Callithrix jacchus: one gene and its partners. The protein of the gene in region 2 interacts with the protein of the main gene of each other region in a pairwise test. Links are inferred from orthologs where the notes say so. Each region holds a gene or a part of one and is shown on either strand. Other genes may lie near its edges.

Evidence for each region.
Region 1: the proteins of EDA (region 2) and PLN interact in binary tests that used the Homo sapiens proteins (3 or more experiments, as listed by UniProt). The link is inferred for Callithrix jacchus from reciprocal best matches to the Homo sapiens genes EDA and PLN.
Region 3: the proteins of EDA (region 2) and SEC22A interact in binary tests that used the Homo sapiens proteins (3 or more experiments, as listed by UniProt). The two-hybrid records come from large-scale screens. The link is inferred for Callithrix jacchus from reciprocal best matches to the Homo sapiens genes EDA and SEC22A.

Annotation. Positions count from the first base shown.
Region 1 is NC_133505.1:124,873,877-124,880,190, forward strand, and holds the start of PLN (phospholamban), read left to right. Parts: upstream 1-2,471; 5' UTR 2,472-2,565; intron 2,566-6,314. UniProt on the Homo sapiens protein: Reversibly inhibits the activity of ATP2A2/SERCA2 in cardiac sarcoplasmic reticulum by decreasing the apparent affinity of the ATPase for Ca(2+).
Region 2 is NC_133524.1:66,881,482-66,887,918, forward strand, and holds the start of EDA (ectodysplasin-A), read left to right. Parts: upstream 1-2,554; 5' UTR 2,555-2,741; coding exon 2,742-3,131; intron 3,132-6,437. UniProt on the Homo sapiens protein: Cytokine which is involved in epithelial-mesenchymal signaling during morphogenesis of ectodermal organs. Functions as a ligand activating the DEATH-domain containing receptors EDAR and EDA2R. May also play a role in cell adhesion.
Region 3 is NC_133516.1:79,847,745-79,854,008, forward strand, and holds the start of SEC22A (vesicle-trafficking protein SEC22a), read right to left. Parts: upstream 3,844-6,264; 5' UTR 3,667-3,843; exon of another isoform or gene 3,417-3,666; intron 951-3,416; 5' UTR 945-950; coding exon 907-944; exon of another isoform or gene 854-906; intron 1-853. UniProt on the Homo sapiens protein: May be involved in vesicle transport between the ER and the Golgi complex.

The sequences.
Region 1 (6,314 bases), on a different chromosome or scaffold from region 2:
ATCTTCTAAAGGAAAAAAGAAAATAAGTACTAACACTAATAGGACACTGTTGCAGGATCTCTGATAATCACTGTGTACACTTTGTGTCATTAAGCTATCACAAGTACTATTCTGCAAGTTTGGCAGCTTAGGGAGGTTATTTGTATAAAGTCACGTGACCAAAAATACATTCAAACTACGTGTAACTCCAAATGAAGACTGTGACAAAGCATCTCAAAAAAATTTTCCAGGCTCTAGTTGAGGAATTGCTGAGGAACATTCTATTGATGACACTGTAACCGACTAACGCTCCTTTAAACAACTTTGTTTGGGCAATAAAAAGTGTTTAGTTAAAACTAAAATACGATACTTCCTAGAGTTGTATGTGGGATCATCACCATTATCGTCATCATCACTAGCTAATCCCAAGGAAAAAGGTAAACACAAAATCTCCCCAATCTTGTACAAAACTAAAAGGTAAAATTTTGAATCCATTTTCCAACTACGTCACACACAGTTATAAGTATCCTTCTAAGGTGTGTATATGCCTATGTATGCTTTTTAAGTAAACTTGTAAACATATGTGGTAACTAGGGTATATTTTATTCAGTCTATGGCAGCTTCTTAGTTTACCCAATTGAGTATTACTAGTTCAATTTTCTTAGAATAAGAAGTTCTCAGAACAATGATCTATCACCTAAATTTCAGTTCAATGTGTAACTGTTAGACAAACTTAAAGCAGACTTTCTAAAACGATTAACGGTGCTCAATAATTCACCTATTCACATGTTTAAAATTTCTTAGTTAGTATATGCTACTCTAATGAAAGCTATATTCAAGTTATAATTTTTTCCCACAGTATGCTAACAGATCAGAAATTATAATTTAATCTGGATTTTAATCCTCAGTCTCTTCTTTAGCAGCTGGTTATCTCTGACAAATTACTGTACACCTCTTTAGGCTTCTAGGTTTTATATGATCAATCATCATTGGTAACTGATAGTAATGAGAGTCAATTATTATTCATGCAATTTCCTTAACGAGTTTAAGTTGTAAATTTTCCCTTGGCAATGTTCACAGAAGATCATTGCTAAAATATTATTTTTCAGTTAGTTTTAAGCTGATTCTTTAAATAACAAACAATTTGCTCTGGAGAAAGATTTTCTTTCTCGTTGGAAGAAGCCAAGATCATCTCCATTTAAGGACAAAGCTGCTGCTACACATTTTAGTTAGCCATAAGAAAGTGAAGTGGGCTAAGTTCACTCTCTCATAAGCATTTAAAAAAATAAAAATTACATGTATCTCCTCTAAAATTAAAGAAGAGATCTGAGAATCAGTATTTTCAAATGTGGTGACTTAAATAAATCTAACATGTAAGACAACAAATTAGATGAACAGAGAAGAGGAGAATGATGTCCAGCTTTACAAAAAAAAATTATTTACCCAGTTATACTGTAAAATAAACTGCTTTGGGAAGTTCAAAATATCATTCCACTAACATCTCATTTGTATAGTAATTTTCAGAAAAGCAACCACTAGATTAAATGAGGCATAACCTTTTAGAAACATTACAAAACTTAATTTCAACACATGAAAACCTATAAAGCCTCATTAACTGAGATGTAACTGATTGGGAATCTGCAATTATTTCTTTTTTACTATAAAGTTGCCCTTAATACTGCTTATAAAAAAAATTAGTAAGTTTGTGTAATAATTTAAAGCAATTCTTAAAGAACCATATTGCTATTTTTGGGGGATTATATGTATCAGTTTAAATACGAAAATTAGCATTCACAAATATATTGTTAAACTGCTAACTGAAGAAAACCCAAATGAATTAAATATATTTATTAGTTCTTACTTTAGCTGTAAGATAAAAATAATTTTTTTAAACAAAAAGCAGTTATTAGCCTGATTTTCTCATACACACAGCTTCTCCCATATATACAGAACAAGTACAAAATAAGAAGAAAACAGGTATAAAATTTGATTATGTAAAAATACTTCATTTTTGTCTTGCTAAAAGCTAACATTATGAAGAATTGGTATTAAAGCAACAGCAGCAAGAATTCAATGAAAGTTGTTTTGCTTATACCTGTGTTTATTTTTCTCATAATTAAAATTCCTGCAGTAACTTATTTCTTCAATATGTTCACCATTTATATTCAATTATCTCTAAGCCTGAAGATAATTGAATATAAATGTCTTATTATCTCTAAGCCTGAAGATGCATGAATCTGTAACAAAAGCTTTCTACCACCTCAAATTTACCTTTTCTTCCATTTACCTGCCATATACTGTTTTAAATTAAAAACAAAAGATGAAGCACAAAGTGTTAATGACTTTTCCATACCTAAATTAAGAAGTTCTAAAGTTTGGTTGTGATAAGACCAAGACTATGGCTAACCAATCGAAACTTGAGAATTTCTATGTGACATCATAAGACCTCCCTAGCACACTTTTTCTCCTCCACCTACTGCAACTGTTCCCATAAACCTGGTGACAGAGTCAGAAAACTCCTCAGCTAAACATCCATAGACTTTATATGACCCAATACTTTATATTGTGATGATCACACCAGCCAAGGTAAGAAACAGATTTCACTGACTTTGGTAATTCTTCTTTCTGTAATTCTTAATTCCTATGATTTCTATAATCTGAACTATTAAAATGAGTTAATTATATTTTATAAATTTCAGTTCAAAGTTAAATAACAAAATGACATGGCAAAGTACTTAAATTTATAAATTGCTTAACCATTTAGTGACAGTAAAAAAAAATGAGACAACTTTAAAATGAAAAGGGTTGTATTCATCTTTGATCCTGGTTATTGGTTTGTCATTTTAATTTAACTTTCACTTTTATTTTGCTTTTCAAATGTGAATTTCTGCCAATTTAAAAAAACCTTCGAATTATGTTACCATATTTGGTAGTAGCAATGGTTAATTTCTCCATGCAAAAACAATGACTTAATTTTGTTATCAAATGCTCTGCTGAGAAACAGTGCAGGACTGAACTGTCTACTTACATGTGAACTAATATTGCCTATTCCAATATTATCATTATAATATCATACAGTGAATAATAATAAAATGGAGTTTAAGAATATTTAATGCAAGATACTTTTAAAGTGCGCTTAGGGATTTTTCTCCTGTAAAGTCCAGTCAACTTTCAACAAACACTTCTAAAAATTCCATGACGTTAATAAATTCAGTTACTGATATTAAATCCAATATTGTATCATAAAGAAGTTTAGAAATTTTAAAATACTTTCACAAACACATAAAAAGTCTAATGTTAGAGAATAATTTGACACTTTAAAAATAAAGTTATTTTGACACACAAATATGCTTAAGTATCTATTTTTCATACAAATTTGATAAAATACCTATACTTTTATCAAGTTATTATCCTCCAGTGTTATTCCATTTCCTTTCTTGGATTTAGAAGGAAAAGAGAAAATAAAATAAATGCCAGGAACGGAGATGCCACAATCAATTTTATGACGTCTGTTTGAATTCTACCTATTCTTTATGTTACAATTCTCAATTTAGTAAATAAATGTTTCCTCATTCTTATATCTCTGTCAGGGCACACAGAAAAATATATCTATTTTATTGATTTTATTTTTTATATTTTATATATATGTTAAAATAAAATTTACCTCTAAAATTCTCAATTCCTGTGACAAACATTAATTCTATTACTCACTATAAATAAGACCTTTGTAATTCTGTAAGCAGCTTTCCTTAAGATATACAAAAACCTAATTTTTGTCTACCACTGAGGTATCCTAATTGCTTCTCCGTATCTCTATACTCATATTTTTCCTTTAATATTACATAAAAGTCATTCAGTGTAGGTGTCTGATATGTTTATCTGTGCATTTTTATTCAAATATCTATCAAATTATATTCTCACATTTCAAACTGGGTATTCATGAGTTCTTTTATTGTATCAGAATTTTGCTGTATCACATATTGCTCTAAAAAGTACACAACTTCTGGATAGAGCAGAAAGTCTACTATTAAAGTTACCCTTAGCTCACCAGTATGTCTCAGTTAATAGAAATTACATAGTTATAGAGACTGCTAATATTTCAAATATAATGTGATAGTACCATACCATATGCCCAACTAGTTCATCTATGCCTTAAAGTGACAGTTAAGTACTGCCTCTGTTTATGAAGACATGGTTTAATAGTAAGTGCTAATAAAAACTGTTAGATGAAATCAAATGGAAGAAATATGAAAGACGTTTAAATTAAACGGCATTGATTAGGTTTTAAAAACACGTGAAAGAGCCAGAGTACTTGCTTTACTAAGAGGTGTCACAGCACTAACAATTCCTAAAACTCAAATATCAAATCTATTTTATTTGTATTTTAGTAGGCATAAAGGAAAATAATCACATTTGGGTTATATAATCATACGCATTGTTTCTTAATCTCACTAGAGATAGGAAAATATTTTCAGAAAAGAAAATGCTAATGTATATGTTAATGTATTATATAATGTACTGATTACATGTATAGCATTAAATTATGTAATATATTTAATTTTTAATTTAAAAGTTACATTTACAGTCTCTAAATTAGACAATATATTTATTACCAATCCCAGAAATGAGAAGAGCCTATTAAAACATCTTTCTTTATTCTTAAAAAACAATTTCCTAAATATACTACTAGTATACACAAATGTTTCATTTGGTCCTCTTAATTATATATTTAATACCACATCACTATTCCACAATTTAGGAAAGATGCAAAAATGTGAACTGCGCAAGATCACAGAACTAAGAAAACAGAGAAACCTTGGCAGAAGGTTAGGTTTCGTGATTAAGCCACATTCACATCCTCTATACAATGATCAACATGGTTTAAAGTACATCATGACACTGACAAACCAAACTAAATTGAAAGTCCTCAAATACTGTAAAAGATACTCTAAAAGGCAAATTCAGAGAATACAAACTTCTAATTTAATACCATGCCATTTTACTTAAATTCAATTTAGGCATCAGACATGACATTCTTAATACCCTAAATTATATTCTACTGATGATTTTCAAAACCAGAAAATACACAAAAATTACAGATGTCCTTAGTTATTAAGCAATACAGCCTGGAAGGCAAAATTGAAACTAACCGCACAAACTTTAAAAAACAGTAACACACCTCAATCCATCAAAATTTCCTTTTATTTGTTTCATTGCTAAAATACGTATGGCCTTCAACCCATTTGATACCTAAAATCCAAGTTAATATCTCATTAAAACTTTCACTACATAAACCACATTTCAATACTTTATTCCAGGATCCATCCCTCTTAAATCCTCAGCTCTCAGCATTCTTCAGGTTTATTTCTGAAGCCCCCCTCATACTCTAGCATTTTTAATATGCAACACTATTTGACATGTTTGATCAGAGAAATCTTGCTATCTATGCTACAAAAATCCCTCACTTTCATCAAAACAGTGAATTTACACAGAAATGATACTAGCAAAGTAAACCTAAGTAATCAAGAAAGTAATCCTCCTCAAATACAGTGGCATAAATCAGGTAAGATGTGGTCTCTTTGTATATTTTCAGAAATAGCACATCAAAGTTCTCACCCTGAATAATTCTGAACGATGTGTTACCAAATAAACACATGAAAAGGAAGCCTGGATGTACCACATAGTCATAGTTATCTGAGGACCTCTAGTGCCTTTTAAAAGGTACTCCATCTTTAGGGTTTTCAACCCCAAGTTCCCTGCCCCCCAGCAAAAAAAGGTTGACCAATTCACTCCCATTAATAGGGGGTTTATTTATTAAGTGGCATTCATTTTTCCTTAAGATGTTCTCAATAATACCCCCCCCCCCACAATCTCCTCCCCTCAAAAAGACCCTGAAGTCCCAACTCCCAACATGATTAAAAAGAGTACTTTACTTGTAAATAAACTTGTAAAGCATTGTTTCAATATTTAAGAAACAATAATGAGGAAAAACCTACAGATACTATAGCAATAGCAATAAGCTACATTGTCAATTTCAGAGAGAAAAATCTCTCTGTGCTGTTGTTTAATGAGTTCTCCTCAAGGTAGAGCTTTAATAGGGGAAACATTCCATTACAGGTCAATTTAGGAGTGAGATTATGTTGACTTTTATGCATATGCAATTCTTTTCACAAACAGACAGAAGCAGCGTGAAGAACTGTACTATTACCACAAGTCCAAAAAAGGGTGTATACATACTTACTTATGGCTTATCTGTGGAAATGTCAGCAAGTAGCAGAAAAATAAGATAAAATTCCAAATATTACAAATATAGATGAGTCCTGTTTACAAATTCT
Region 2 (6,437 bases):
CTGAATATAGCCAAATGGGAATGTGGATCCAGAGTTATCAGGTCTTCTGGTTTTTTAACAGAAAAGCAGGAAATCTGGACTTTTAAAAATGTGAAATCTCCAGAGTTCCAAAAGCTGACAACTGTTTTCTTTTTTTTAATTCAAAGGTTTAGTTGATACTGCACCAAACACAACACATCTATTTGCTGGATATGGCCTGCAGGCTGTCATTGAGACCTGTGCTTTAGGGGATAGGATAGTTATGGAAGCATAGAAGCTAACTGAAGGAACACTTCAAAACACTTAAAAGATAACCACATACATTCCTCTCTGGATTGCCCCGTTCCCACATTTCTACTGCATATGATGACACATGTTCTTTCTCTGGGGAAAGAGAGGTCCCAGGTCAAATGCAACCCTCAGGGCTTCTGTGGGCAAGGGTGTAATCCAGAGTCTCAGTCAAGTTGTTAAAAGCCTGGCAGAACACGGTAAGGTGAGAGCAGTGTGGCCCTTGAGCATCACCACCACCAGGAGATGGCTGTCATTTGTTTCCTTTTCATTTTAGAGGAAGAAAGGGCAGCCACTTTAAACTGTGTATGCAAGAAAGTCAGCACAGCCAGTGACAACACAGATAAAACACAATGTAAAGGCTGTTAAAGTTCAAACTCCTCATTTTACTGCCGGAGAAATAGAGGCCCCGAAAAAGCACAGTGACTTGCTCAGAGTGACCCAGCAATCTAGTGGCAGAATGAAGTCTCCTGACTCCTGGTCTAGCATTCTTTCCAATAACCCCAGCCTGTGATAATTAAAATAAATCAGCCTGGCAGTTTTCCTAGCATCTAGAATTCCTGGACTGGACAAGCAGGACTTGAGAGCAGCTGTTAAACACCTTTTTTCCCCTTGGCTCTAGGATGATGATATTCTTTGTGAACTTTATATTTCATGGGTAGAGGTTAAGGAGAAGACAAAAAGATGTTTTTGAAGCACTGAGACCATTCAAAAGTGTATAGAGAAAAGTTGTCTGTGGCTAATATATTAAAGGCTTATGACCTCTGTGCTCTCTGGACTGATCTGCCAGCAGATGCTTTTGTTTTTGTGTTTTGTTTCTCTTCTTTCATCTTCTTTTCTATTTCTCTCTCTGTTTTTCTTCTCTTCCACCAGCCTAGGTCTTAGGCCTATATATAAGTGTTCCTGGGCATTGCTGAGCCTCCTTGATGACACTCCAGATGCCTGCTGCAAGTCAATAAAATTGTTAATTATTCATTACTCAATTAATAACATGAGAATGAGAGTGCATAGTGACTACAAAGCATATATGTTTCCCCTTCTACAGTCATTTTGCTTTTTATTATCTCAGACTAGTTACTCTTGTCAATTGTGACTCTTGATTTAACTAATCCTTTCCATCCTTCATTTCAGGGTCTATTGTTCTGCTCTTTGCCACTTTTTTTTCTCTGAACCCGTTTGTGATTGGTGCAGCTGTTGAAGATGCTGCAGTTACAGCAGTGTACATCTGGAACATTTGGCTGACTTGTTGAACTTCCCCCAGGGAGTACTCCAGGAGAAGGATGGGAGGGGTGGAGAGGCCGGAACAGTTGCCTGTAAATAAAGATGCCAATGGTGTCTGGCTATTCTATGGACCTCCCTTGTAAAAATCCACCTCATTCTGACCCTCAGTTTCCTATCTACTCGCTGAAGGTATATGTTCTCTAATCAAAACTACTGCAGTGGAAGAAATCTATTCTGGCTGTGGATGCTCTCATACAGCATTTTCTGCATTGTACAGGGATCAATAGATATTTGTTGAGTTAATTAATATATCAAGAAATCCTAGGACAGTTTTACCCTTCATGGGACAACATCATTTCAGTTCCACTTGGCATGAGTCAGCTTCTCTGTCACTTAGATTGAGCTTTCAGAGAAGTCACTCCAGGAGTGAGGCTGCTTGAGTCCCACCCATTCCCATAGTTCCCAGGCTCCTAGGTCTCCTTTTCTTCGGGCGAGCCATTGAATTGCAAACACAGCAGGCATGGTTTCATTCCAAACCAAGAGCTGTTTTAATTAGTTTAACGTCTGTTAAACGCTTTGAAGATTGGAAGCAACAGATAAGTACTGGATGATGTTATTAACAACTGCAGTTAATTGCAAACATTTCTATTAATGCTAGTTTCTGCCTCCTTTTCTTTGCTCTACTTTCTTTCCAAGGTTCCCAAATTCTTAGCCTCCCCCTCCTTTCCTCCCAGAACTGGCGCTAAAGGGTTAAACTGGGGCGGAGTCTAGGAATGAAGGACAGCGTCAGTCACCAACTAGGACAAGGCAAGGGGGAAGAGCTGGGTGGGGCGGCCAGGCCGAGGCGAACTCTCACGCCCCAAGGCTCCCCCCACCCCCCCCCCACCCCCCGAGGCTGGAGGCCCGGCTGGAACGGTACGGGGCGGGGCGCCGAGGCAGGGCGGCCCCTTGGTTGGACGTCCCGGCAGCCGCTTGAGGGATGGGGCGGTGTCGGCCGGGACCTCCTCCTTCATTCCCTCGGCGGGCCGAGCCTCCCCTCTCTCCCGCCCCTCCTCCTCCCTTTCCCACCCCTCGGAGTGGAGCTGCACATGCGGCTGCTCCCTGCTCCGTCCCGCCCAGCCACCGTCGCGCAGGAACGGGTCCCTGCAGCCCCCAGCCGATGGCAGGGCAGTAGCCGCCTGTCAGAGGTCGTGAACGGCTGAGGTAGACGCAGCGGCTCCCGGGCCTCAAAAAAGTGGGTGTCTCTGGAGGCCATGGGCTCCCCGGAGATGGAGCGCAGGGAACCCCTGCCCGCGACAGCGCCGCGGGAGCGGGAGAGCCAGAGCTGCGGCTGTCGCGGGGCCCCTGCTCGGGCGGGCGAAGGGAACAGCTGCCGGCTCTTCCTGGGTTTCTTTGGCCTCTCGCTGGCCCTCCACCTGCTGACGTTGTGCTGCTACCTAGAGTTGCGCTCGGAGTTGCGGCGGGAACGGGGAGCCCTATCCCGCCTTGGCGGCCCGGGCACCTCTGGCACCCTAAACAGCCCCGGTGGCCTCGACCCTGACAGCCCCATCACCCGTCACCTTGGGCAGCCGTCACCTCAGCAGCAGCCGCCTTTGGAACCGGGAGAAGCCGCACTCCCCTCTGACTCCCAGGACGGGCACCAGGTGAGTAACCTAGTAGGGGTGGCGACGGCCCCCTCCCCTCGCGGGTAGGGCGAGGGCCCTCCACCAAAGGGGCCTGGGAGCACTCTGCCACCTCGACCCAATTTAGAGGGCAGGACCAGCGAGGGGCCAGGCGAGCAGTGGAGAGGTTGCCCAAGGCAGGTTGTCTTCGGTCCCTGGCCCAGCTAATCCAGACTCCCTGAGGACCCCTTGAGTTGGAAAGCCTAGCGCGTGCCCGCCGCCCCTGGCTGCGGGCTGCCTCGGGAAAAGTTGGCGACGCTCCCGTCGAGGAGGTGCCTGTGCTGCCCCCCGGCCGACTAACGGCTTGGCTCTTCTGCTCCTGATGAGGTTCTCTGCCCGCGGTGCTTGTTTTTTCGTGTCCAGAGCTGATGCCAGAACCAGCAGGCTCCGCTTTGGAGTTAGAGCTGTAAACAGCTGTAGTAACTGCTCCACGCCTGCCCGTTGAAACAACTTTTAACCGCATTTTCATCGCGGGTCCTTGTGTGCTGACCAGAACGTGGACTTGTTCACACTTACCTGCAATTTGAGACTGATTGTCCTCGGCGTTCTGGTGAGGATCAGCGCCCCTGAGGAATTCTGGTAGAAATATGCCGTCTTGCTAGACAACTTCTGAACAGCAATTTAAAAAATCTATGGAAGTAAAACTCACCCTTTGCATGCTGGTTCTGATTCTAAGCAGGGTAGGTGTGCAGTGGGAAGGGTGGGTGGGAAGTGCTTTTACTGCTAGCTTGAGACCGGGAATCTGCAAATGGAATAATTACTCAGGACTAGTACCCCAAGAGCACTTTGGGGTTTTTTTGTTTTGTTTTGTTTATTTTTGCAATCTTTATGGTGTTTGTGCCCTTATTACCAAACTATTAACTTTGGTGTTTGTTTTCTACTCTTTCTAGCTCTTTATTCAAGTAAATTTAGTGCACTTAACGTAAATATTGTCTTGGTTGCCATATGTGAAACTTAGGAGAAGCATCTAATGATCCTTTTGAGGTGGCTAAAGAATAATAGTAAAATTGTACCTCTTAGGGAAGAGAGCAAGTTGTACAAATAAGTTCCTTGAGGTGAGGGACCCAAGCCTTCTGTATTTACTGCCACATCCAGAGTCATTGTCACAACTCTGTAAACATTATTTCTACCACTTTGACCTCCCATCTAAAGTAGTACACTTGATAAAGGCATCACATTCAGGATAATAGTGTAATGTTAGGACTGATTCTTAAAACAAACAAACAAACAAAAAACCAACTATGTGCATTGTAAAGTTGCCCTGAGCCTTAAAATGTCTTGCTAGCACACTTCAATTTATATAACAGCTTATCGAAGAAGAGAATCAGCAGACATGCTTCTCATACTTGAAACTTTAAACACTGTAACTAAACGATAATTAACTAGGATTCTGACTCCTTTATTTATCTACTGCCACTCCCCTACACCCCAATGCCCAGTAGAAATATTTAGCAGCTGAACATTGATATTCTGTGAAAAGATGAAAGAATTAAACTTCTTCAGTCAAATGGTGGCCAAGACTTTTTGGCATTCCCAATGGACAGAGCCATGTTTACAGACTGAGGATTAGCAGAACAGCTGTACTCTAGGGCTTCTGTAATGGCATAAAACTCTTCCAGGTCTGTAATGGCATTTAGTTACCTGCCCTTTGTATGGCACTAAAATAGTTCTGTCTAGGTTTAAACACAGCTTCCTATCTTCTGTCCTTTATTCTTTCTGTTTTAATATTTTTGAGCAATAGAAGCAAGGATACTAGCTCTTTACATTTGTTGACATCAATTGGAATCCGTTTCCTAGAGTTATTAAGGGCTTATACGAGTTCATTTCATTTGATTCCCTTGGGAAACATAGGCCCTAAAGGGAAAGTGACTTGCCCAAGGTCACATAACTAGAGTCAAAACTGGGATGAAAGTTACTCTCTTAATTCCCATTTCAGTGCCCATTCCCCCAACTACCTCCTGGGACCTTTTTTGAGGGAGCAAGATGGAGCTCCATATTAGAACTTTTACAAAGTAGAGGGCTCAGATCTGCATCATTTTGTTCTACTCTACCTGTATTTTGACCATACTAAGTTTAACCATGTATTCCTTATTCTTCCTGAACTTCACTTTCAGATTTGGAGTATACTTTGAAGGAATTTTAGCCCAAATTCAACTTAAGTTTATTTTAAATTATTCAACTGAAGTTTATCTTATCTTGTATATTAGTTTTAGTATACAAAAATAAGTTTTTAAAAACAGTTGATTGGGTATTAAATTAATACTGCTACAAGCTTGGGTAAAATTTCTAGTGCCCTGGTGCACCCTCTGCTGGCTTTATAGGGCCATTTAATTGTGTCTGTTGACACTCAGAATTCTACATTGTGCTGACAGATTCTGATTCGGTAAATAAGGAAGTAAACAGCCTTGTGGGATTTGGGCACGTAGGCCATATTTCTATATTTTAGTTTTTCAACACAAACAACTGCTGTTATAGCAAGTCTTGGATGGAGAGGAAGAAAGATAAAAATATACACCCTTCAACAGGCAGTATATTCAGGTTTCTTACCAGTTTATCTGCAAGGAGTGAAGGCAACCTGATGAGAATAAGCTGCAGGAAGTTCTCATGAGACCAAGTGGGCAGAACAGTCAGAGACACTTCATGCAGGTAGGCAAAAGTAAACCTATCTATGTTTATGAGATGATGGGCTCTAGGCTCTCAGTTATGACTCAAGAAAGGGATCTAGAAATCACTGTAGATGTATGTATATCATCTCTCAATTTAAAAACTTTTTAAGCAGGGCACACAAGGAAGTTAGGGCAGGTGGGATACAGAGCATAGAGATCAGCACAGTTCTCCATGTGAAATGTTACTAAAGTCTCCCCCATGGGGACACACTTGCTGATGATAAAGTGAGAGAGTCATATCATACCTTCTGTAATTAACCATCTACTTCAGTGGGAGCAACTAAGTAGCTGCAGATTTATCTGGATAGTTGGTGGAGATTATCTCAAGAGTAAGGGACATCTCATTTGTATCTGAATTAGGACAATGTAGAGTAATATGATTGCCAGAGTAAAAAAAAATAAAAATCACTGTTGATCATTTGTGGAGATGTTGTTCCAGTTGTGATTGTGGTCCTAAAAGGCCAAGAACATAGTGGATATCATCAGGAAGGATCTCAAAAACAACAAAACAAGACACTTATTTTTTTCTACATACAAGATCAAAAGCAGGTTAACTTCTACAATCGGACAGGAAATTCTGGTGGTTGCTTCTCAAGAAAAGCCTAACAGCTGATAAAAGTCC
Region 3 (6,264 bases), on a different chromosome or scaffold from region 2:
GCAGAACACAGCAGTTATATTCCCTGTCAAAATTCTTATAAGGTTGTCAGAGGATTGTTTCTACTGATCCATAGTTAGGATTTTTCTTAGGGAAAAAATTAAACCTCTTCCTATGAGTATTTTGATTCAGCATCCAAACCAGTTGAATTTCAGCCTGACAAACTGGGATGAATGTCCAGTGATCAATGTCAGGCCTAACCAATTTGCAGACAGACTCCAATCACCTTAGGCTAAGCTGTCTCTCCAATTCAATGAACTACTTTTTTCCTTTTAACCACGGATTCATAATGTAGTTTGTTGTTGTTTTTAAACTAATCTTATCTGCACTGTGATAGCAGAAAAGAGAATCTGTCCATATCAAGCCCAAGCTAGGTTAGAGTATCTTTAAGGTCTAAGAAGGGTTGTGGTTGGCAAAATCCCAAGGAAGAACCAGTGGAACTGTGGAAAGCAAGAGGTTACAACAATTGCATGGGAAGATTTAGGACTTTTTTTTTTTTTTTTTGAGACGGAGTTTCGCTCTTGTTACCCAGGCTGGAGTGCAATGGCGCGATCTCGGCTCACCGCAATCTCCGCCTCCTGGGTTCAGGCAATTCTCCTGCCTCAGCCTCCCGAGCAGCTGGGATTACAGGCACGCACCACCGTGCCCAGCTAATCTTTTGTAATTTTAGTAGAGACGGGGTTTCACCATGTTGACCAAGATGGTCTCGATCTGTTGACCTCGTGATCCACCCGCCTCGGCCTCCCAAAGTGCTGGGATTACAGGCTTGAGCCACCGCGCCCGGCCAGATTTAGGACTTTTTAGCTTAAAAGGGCCATAGATAAATGTTTATAGCACTGGTCCATTTTTCCTCACCTTTAATACAGAGAAAATATTATACCCGCTTTAGACAGCAGCAGTTAACTCACAGGGAATCTGAATAGTGGCTCTTGTTTCCTCTCGCCATCAGCAACTGTTGAAGGAAAAAGCACAAGTTAGAATCTAGGTAAATCTGGGTAAACCTTTATGTAAAGGCTGAGGAAAATAAATTCCCATAATGCCAAACTACTATAGTAGTGTTAGCAAGTTCTTAGACCTAAGATAACAAGACATCTCTCTTCTTCAGGACCTTGTGTGGGTAATGACAACAGGTTCAATGTCTCAGGAAGGTATCTCTCAAAAGGTAATAAAGCCCAACATATAAGTAGATTTTGTATATATGTTCTAGCCAAATGCTTTCACAAATGCCATTTTTAAGATAAAAACATTCTATACTGGGGGTAAAAGCACTCATTTATTTTAGTTCATAATTTCCCAGTCTTCAGTCATCTAAATGCCACTTTCATAATTATCTTCATCCACCTGTACTATTTACCTAATATTGGTCTTTGAACTGACTTACTTTTCTTGTCCTCTATTTTTTAGCAATAATATCTGAAATCAGTTTTGAGGTGTCAGGTTTTTATGATTAAATGTACTTGTTTCATTCAAGTATGTGTGTGAACATTTTGGGAGAATTTTTTAAATGTTCATCTGCTAATCAAATTATCTTGCATATGTGACAGTACCAAAGTTTGAGAAACACTACCAATAAGGTACATGTTATTTTATTAAAAGTGGTAGCAGAGATCTGTGGGAATGTTGGGGGGGCAGTGGCAGTTAATCTGGACAGAAAGCTATACTAACTGTGATGCACAGGGAGGGTGCGGGGTAGATTGAGTGATAAAGGGGAAGAAATTTCTACCATTCTGCCTGTGCGCTTTACCTCACTAGTAGTTTTTGACACTCCTATTATGGGCGCTTGCACTGCACAGTATGTATAAGACCTCAGGCTTCACAATAGATTTTACTCACATCTAGGACAGGGCCAACAGTATATGCTCAAAGGTGTCAATCCCAACATTTGCATAGTGCCACATAGTCCACATTTGGATAGGTAGAACCTCCATTTTACAGATGAGGAAATGGAGGCTCACTTTCTCAATGTCACACTGCTAGTATATAGCAGAACTGGTTCTTCAATCTAAATTTCTAATATCTCTATACCACAATGCTTCATCAGTCTCCAAAAACCAACAAGAGGCAAGAAACCAGTGATACAGAAACTAGCTATTCATTTTAAAATAATAAAATAGCAGGTTATAATTTCTTTAAGAGGCAGTACAGTTTGGTAGTTATAAAGAGGACAGAATCTGGAGCCAGGCTTCCTGGGTCCTAATTCTGGCTCCACAATGCACCAGCCATGCAAATTTGGGCAAACTTTGACATATCTCAATTTTCACACCTACATATTGTGGCTACTAATGGTATCTATTTCATAGGCTTGTTTTAAAAATAATATTATCTATCTCATAGGATCATGTAAAGCACCTGAAACACTGCCTTGTAATATACTAAAAGCACTATATTAAGTATTTGCTATATTATTTACTGATTACTCTCTATGGACCACACACTTCATACAAATTACCTCATTTAAGCCTTCCAACAACCTGTGAGGTAGGTATTATTAGTTCCGTTTTACCTTTGAGGAAACTCAAGCCCAAAAAGCTTAAGGAATTTGTTTAATCCCTAAACTAAAAAGTGACAAAGTAGGGATTTAACTCAGGCCCAACTCTAACACTGTGAGACACTATCAACATATGCAAATTTCTTACTCAAAAACATGTAAAGGAAGGTCACAGGCACCCCTGTGATAGTGCCTGGGCCTCTTTCATACACCAACATAAGATATACTTCTATTTTAATCAGTTGCACACAAAAAATAAATTAAAAGCACCAAACAGATGTGATGTTTTCAACATAGGAAATACCTGAATGTCCCTATTAATTTAGGATACGGTCACAGGTGTTAACGTCAAATAATGAACTTTAATATACCAGAAATTGTAGGTACCACTTAAGGCATTGCCTGATCCCTTACAATCTTAGCATGTAACCAAATATAAATAACATGGAAAGTGAATTGGAGTTTTAAAAGTGGCTGTTCCCCCGATTGGAGATCCAACATCTCCAGTCTGGTGGCTGACACTTTTGCTCTGGGCTAGGCTTTGCCTTGGCTGAATAGGCATAGGAGGGACTGGTTCTCAAGCTCGCCACCTGCCCCAGGTGGATAATCCAGGAAACTAAGCAACAGGAGAAAAATTATCTTCAGCTGTATTCACTGGCAGAGAGATTCAAGCCAGCTGGGACTTGTCCTGTTCTTTCGGAGACCTCCTCCACTTGTGGAGCCAATTACTCAGGTCTCCCTTCCGCCATATCGTTTCCAAAGTGACTCTTGAGACAGGGTCTCAAGAAGTTTCTGTGAGCCAACGTGGGCAAATATCTGGGCTCAATGCTCACTCCATCCCCACAAGACGTAAACTAAGACACTGGTTCAAGTCCCATTCTGCCTAAAAGAAGTAAGAAACGCCACCTCAAGCTCTCGCGGGCCACTTACACAGGTAGATCACCGTGTTTCCGACATCTGGGGGCCAGGGAATCCCCACCACTACGCTGACAGCCAAGGGCGACTGTTCCTCCCCCTCAGATATTCCTCCCCTGGCTGCCCAATACCTGAGGCAGCACAGACAAAGCGCAACTGCCACCCGCGTGGCCCAACAGACCCCTCAAGTCGAAGGGGACGGGGTCCCCGCTTGCCCGCCCCTCCAGAGCTCCGCGGCCCCAGCTCCCACCCCAAAGGCACAGACTTGGCTCCTGCCCGTCGGGTAGGTCTTCAGTCCCGAGGGCGGAGGCCGAGGCTGTGGCGGGAGACCGGGAGAGGAAGGGGAGCGGCCGGCAGGCGTTCGAACGACCCCTAAGAAGGGAAGAGGACTGGGAGGGGCAGGGAAGTACCTGTCGAGCTGGGACCCGCCGCTCCGAGTGACGCGCCCCGCAATGCATTGTGGGGCCTGGGAGGAGCCTTTCGGCGAGGCTGCGGTGCGTCCAACGGGGCTCGCACACGCGGAATCTAACCACGCCCCCGTTCCCTCGGCTCGCCCAGGCCAATCGGGTTCTGCGGGAAGGCCACAACAACCCGCCCACTCCCGGGACCCGCCTTAGTCCCACCCCATGCAGGAGGGATTGGCAGCCTCTCTCGCACCTGCGCCAGAAAAGTACCCCGTCCTCTGTTGACACAACTGCCCTGACTTCAGAAATAGGGTCAGTCTCCCCCGCTCGCCGCCCTGTATCTGCAGGCATTTGTCTCTCACAAGCTGCCCTACAGCAAACATTATCAAAGGGACAGGGAGAAAAGCCCCCTCTGGGTGAGCAAGGAGAGGAGCTAGCCCCTTCTATTCCCGCACACATGAAGGAAACTAACCGTAGCAGAGAAGTGCCGGATGCAGACCCTGCGACCCCTTCCGGCCTTTGCATCGGTCGTACATTATTAAATAGGCATTTACTGACTGTTTACCATGTGCCAAGCACCGTGTTAAGCACGGGGTTACAGGAGTGGACGTAACACTTGATGGAATTTAAGACGTAATAGGAGCAAGAGACATTAAAGCACAAATAGTTACAGAATTATAAATTGTGATCAGTACTGGGAGGGAAAATTAGTGGGTGCAATGATGAATTAATTTTGGACTGTCAGGGAAGAGCCCTCCGAATAAGTGCCTTTTAAGCTGCAGACATATTAAAGAGCCTTAGAGAGTGTTCCCGGTCAAGGAAATATGATGTGTGAGGTTGTTAGGACATGACATAACTTCGTGTGCTCTAGGAACTAAAAGGAAGTCAATGTGGATGGAGTGTAGGGAACAAGGAGAAACTTTGCGCATTGACTTTAAGATATCTTCCAAAATACAGCCTGAAATCTGTAATGTGGCCAATAAGAGCCAGCGTGGTCTGGCCCTTGTCTCATCTCAGCCAAAGGTCAATGGGCAGCTCATAAAGACTATTATTAAGTAGATTCTTATTTGCATATTTAAGAATCACTCAAGCTGTTTGTGGGGAATAGATTGGAAGAGGGCAAGAAGGGCTGCTGGGAGGCCAGTTGGAAGCAGTTGCATCAGACAAAGCCAGAAATGGTGGCTTGAACTAGTGTAATGGGAGTTAAAGACAGAGGTGGATAATTTCAAGATATATATAAACCAAAGATGGTATCCAAGGGACTTACTAATAGATTGGTTTGCCAGAAAGGTCAAAAAAGAGGAATATTAAGGATGACTCCTTAAGTAACTAGATGGATTGAGAAGTCATTTACTGATTCATGGAACACAAAAGGAGGAGCAAATGGTTTGGAATGTTAAATTTGAAATGCTTATAAATGGACATGTCAAGTAGATTTGGATGTAAACCTAGAGTTCAGAAGAAAGGCCTGAACTAACATAAATTTGGTCCTACTCAACAGAAATGTATTCATATATTCACCAGAAAACATATGTATAAGAATGTTCATGAAATGAATAAATTTTAGAATATCCTCACTGGGCGCGATGGCTCATGCCTGTAATCCCAGCACTTTGGGAGGCTGAGGTGGGCGGATCACTTGAGGTCGGGAGATGAAGACCAGCCTGGCCAACATAGTAAAACCCCATTTCTACTACAATATAAAAAAATTAGCCAGGCATGGTGGTGGGCATCTGTAATCCCAGCTACTTGGCAGGGTGAGGTAGGACAATTGCTTAAACCTGGGAGGAAGAAGTTGCAGTGAGCCAAGATCATGCCACTGCACTCCAGCCTAGGCAGTAGAGTGAGACTCCATCTCAAAAAAAAAAAAAAAAAAAGGAATATTCACTAATAGGATACTATAATACTATACACTGTGGGAGGTAGAAAAGTTCCTCTTCAAAGTTTCCTTTCTTGTTTAAGAAAATTTCATAAATGTTAGAAATAACAGTTTGGGGCCAGGCACAGTGGCTCACGCCTGTAATCCCAGCACTTTGGGAGGCCGAGGCGGGTGGATCACGAGGTCAAGAGATCGAGAACATCCTGGTGAACATGGTGAAACCCTGTCTCTACTAAAAATACAAAAAATTAGCTGGGCATGGTGGCGCACGCCTGTAATCCCAGCTACTCGGGAGGCTGAGGCAGGAGAATTGCCTGAACCCAGGAGGCAGAGGTTGCAGTGAGCCAAGATCGCACCATTGCACTCCAGCCTGGGTAACAAGAGCGAAACTTCGTCTCAAAAAAAAAAAAAAAAGAAAGAAATAACAGTTTGTTTTAAACACTTTCTTTGAAAGCCTTCTTGCCTTTTTGCTAGAAGCCCTATACTATGTAGTTGGTAGACATGCTTACAGGCATGTAGTGCATTCTATGTCCTTGTACTTTAACAAAGGACCTGCTCACAGGCATTTCCCAGCTTGCAG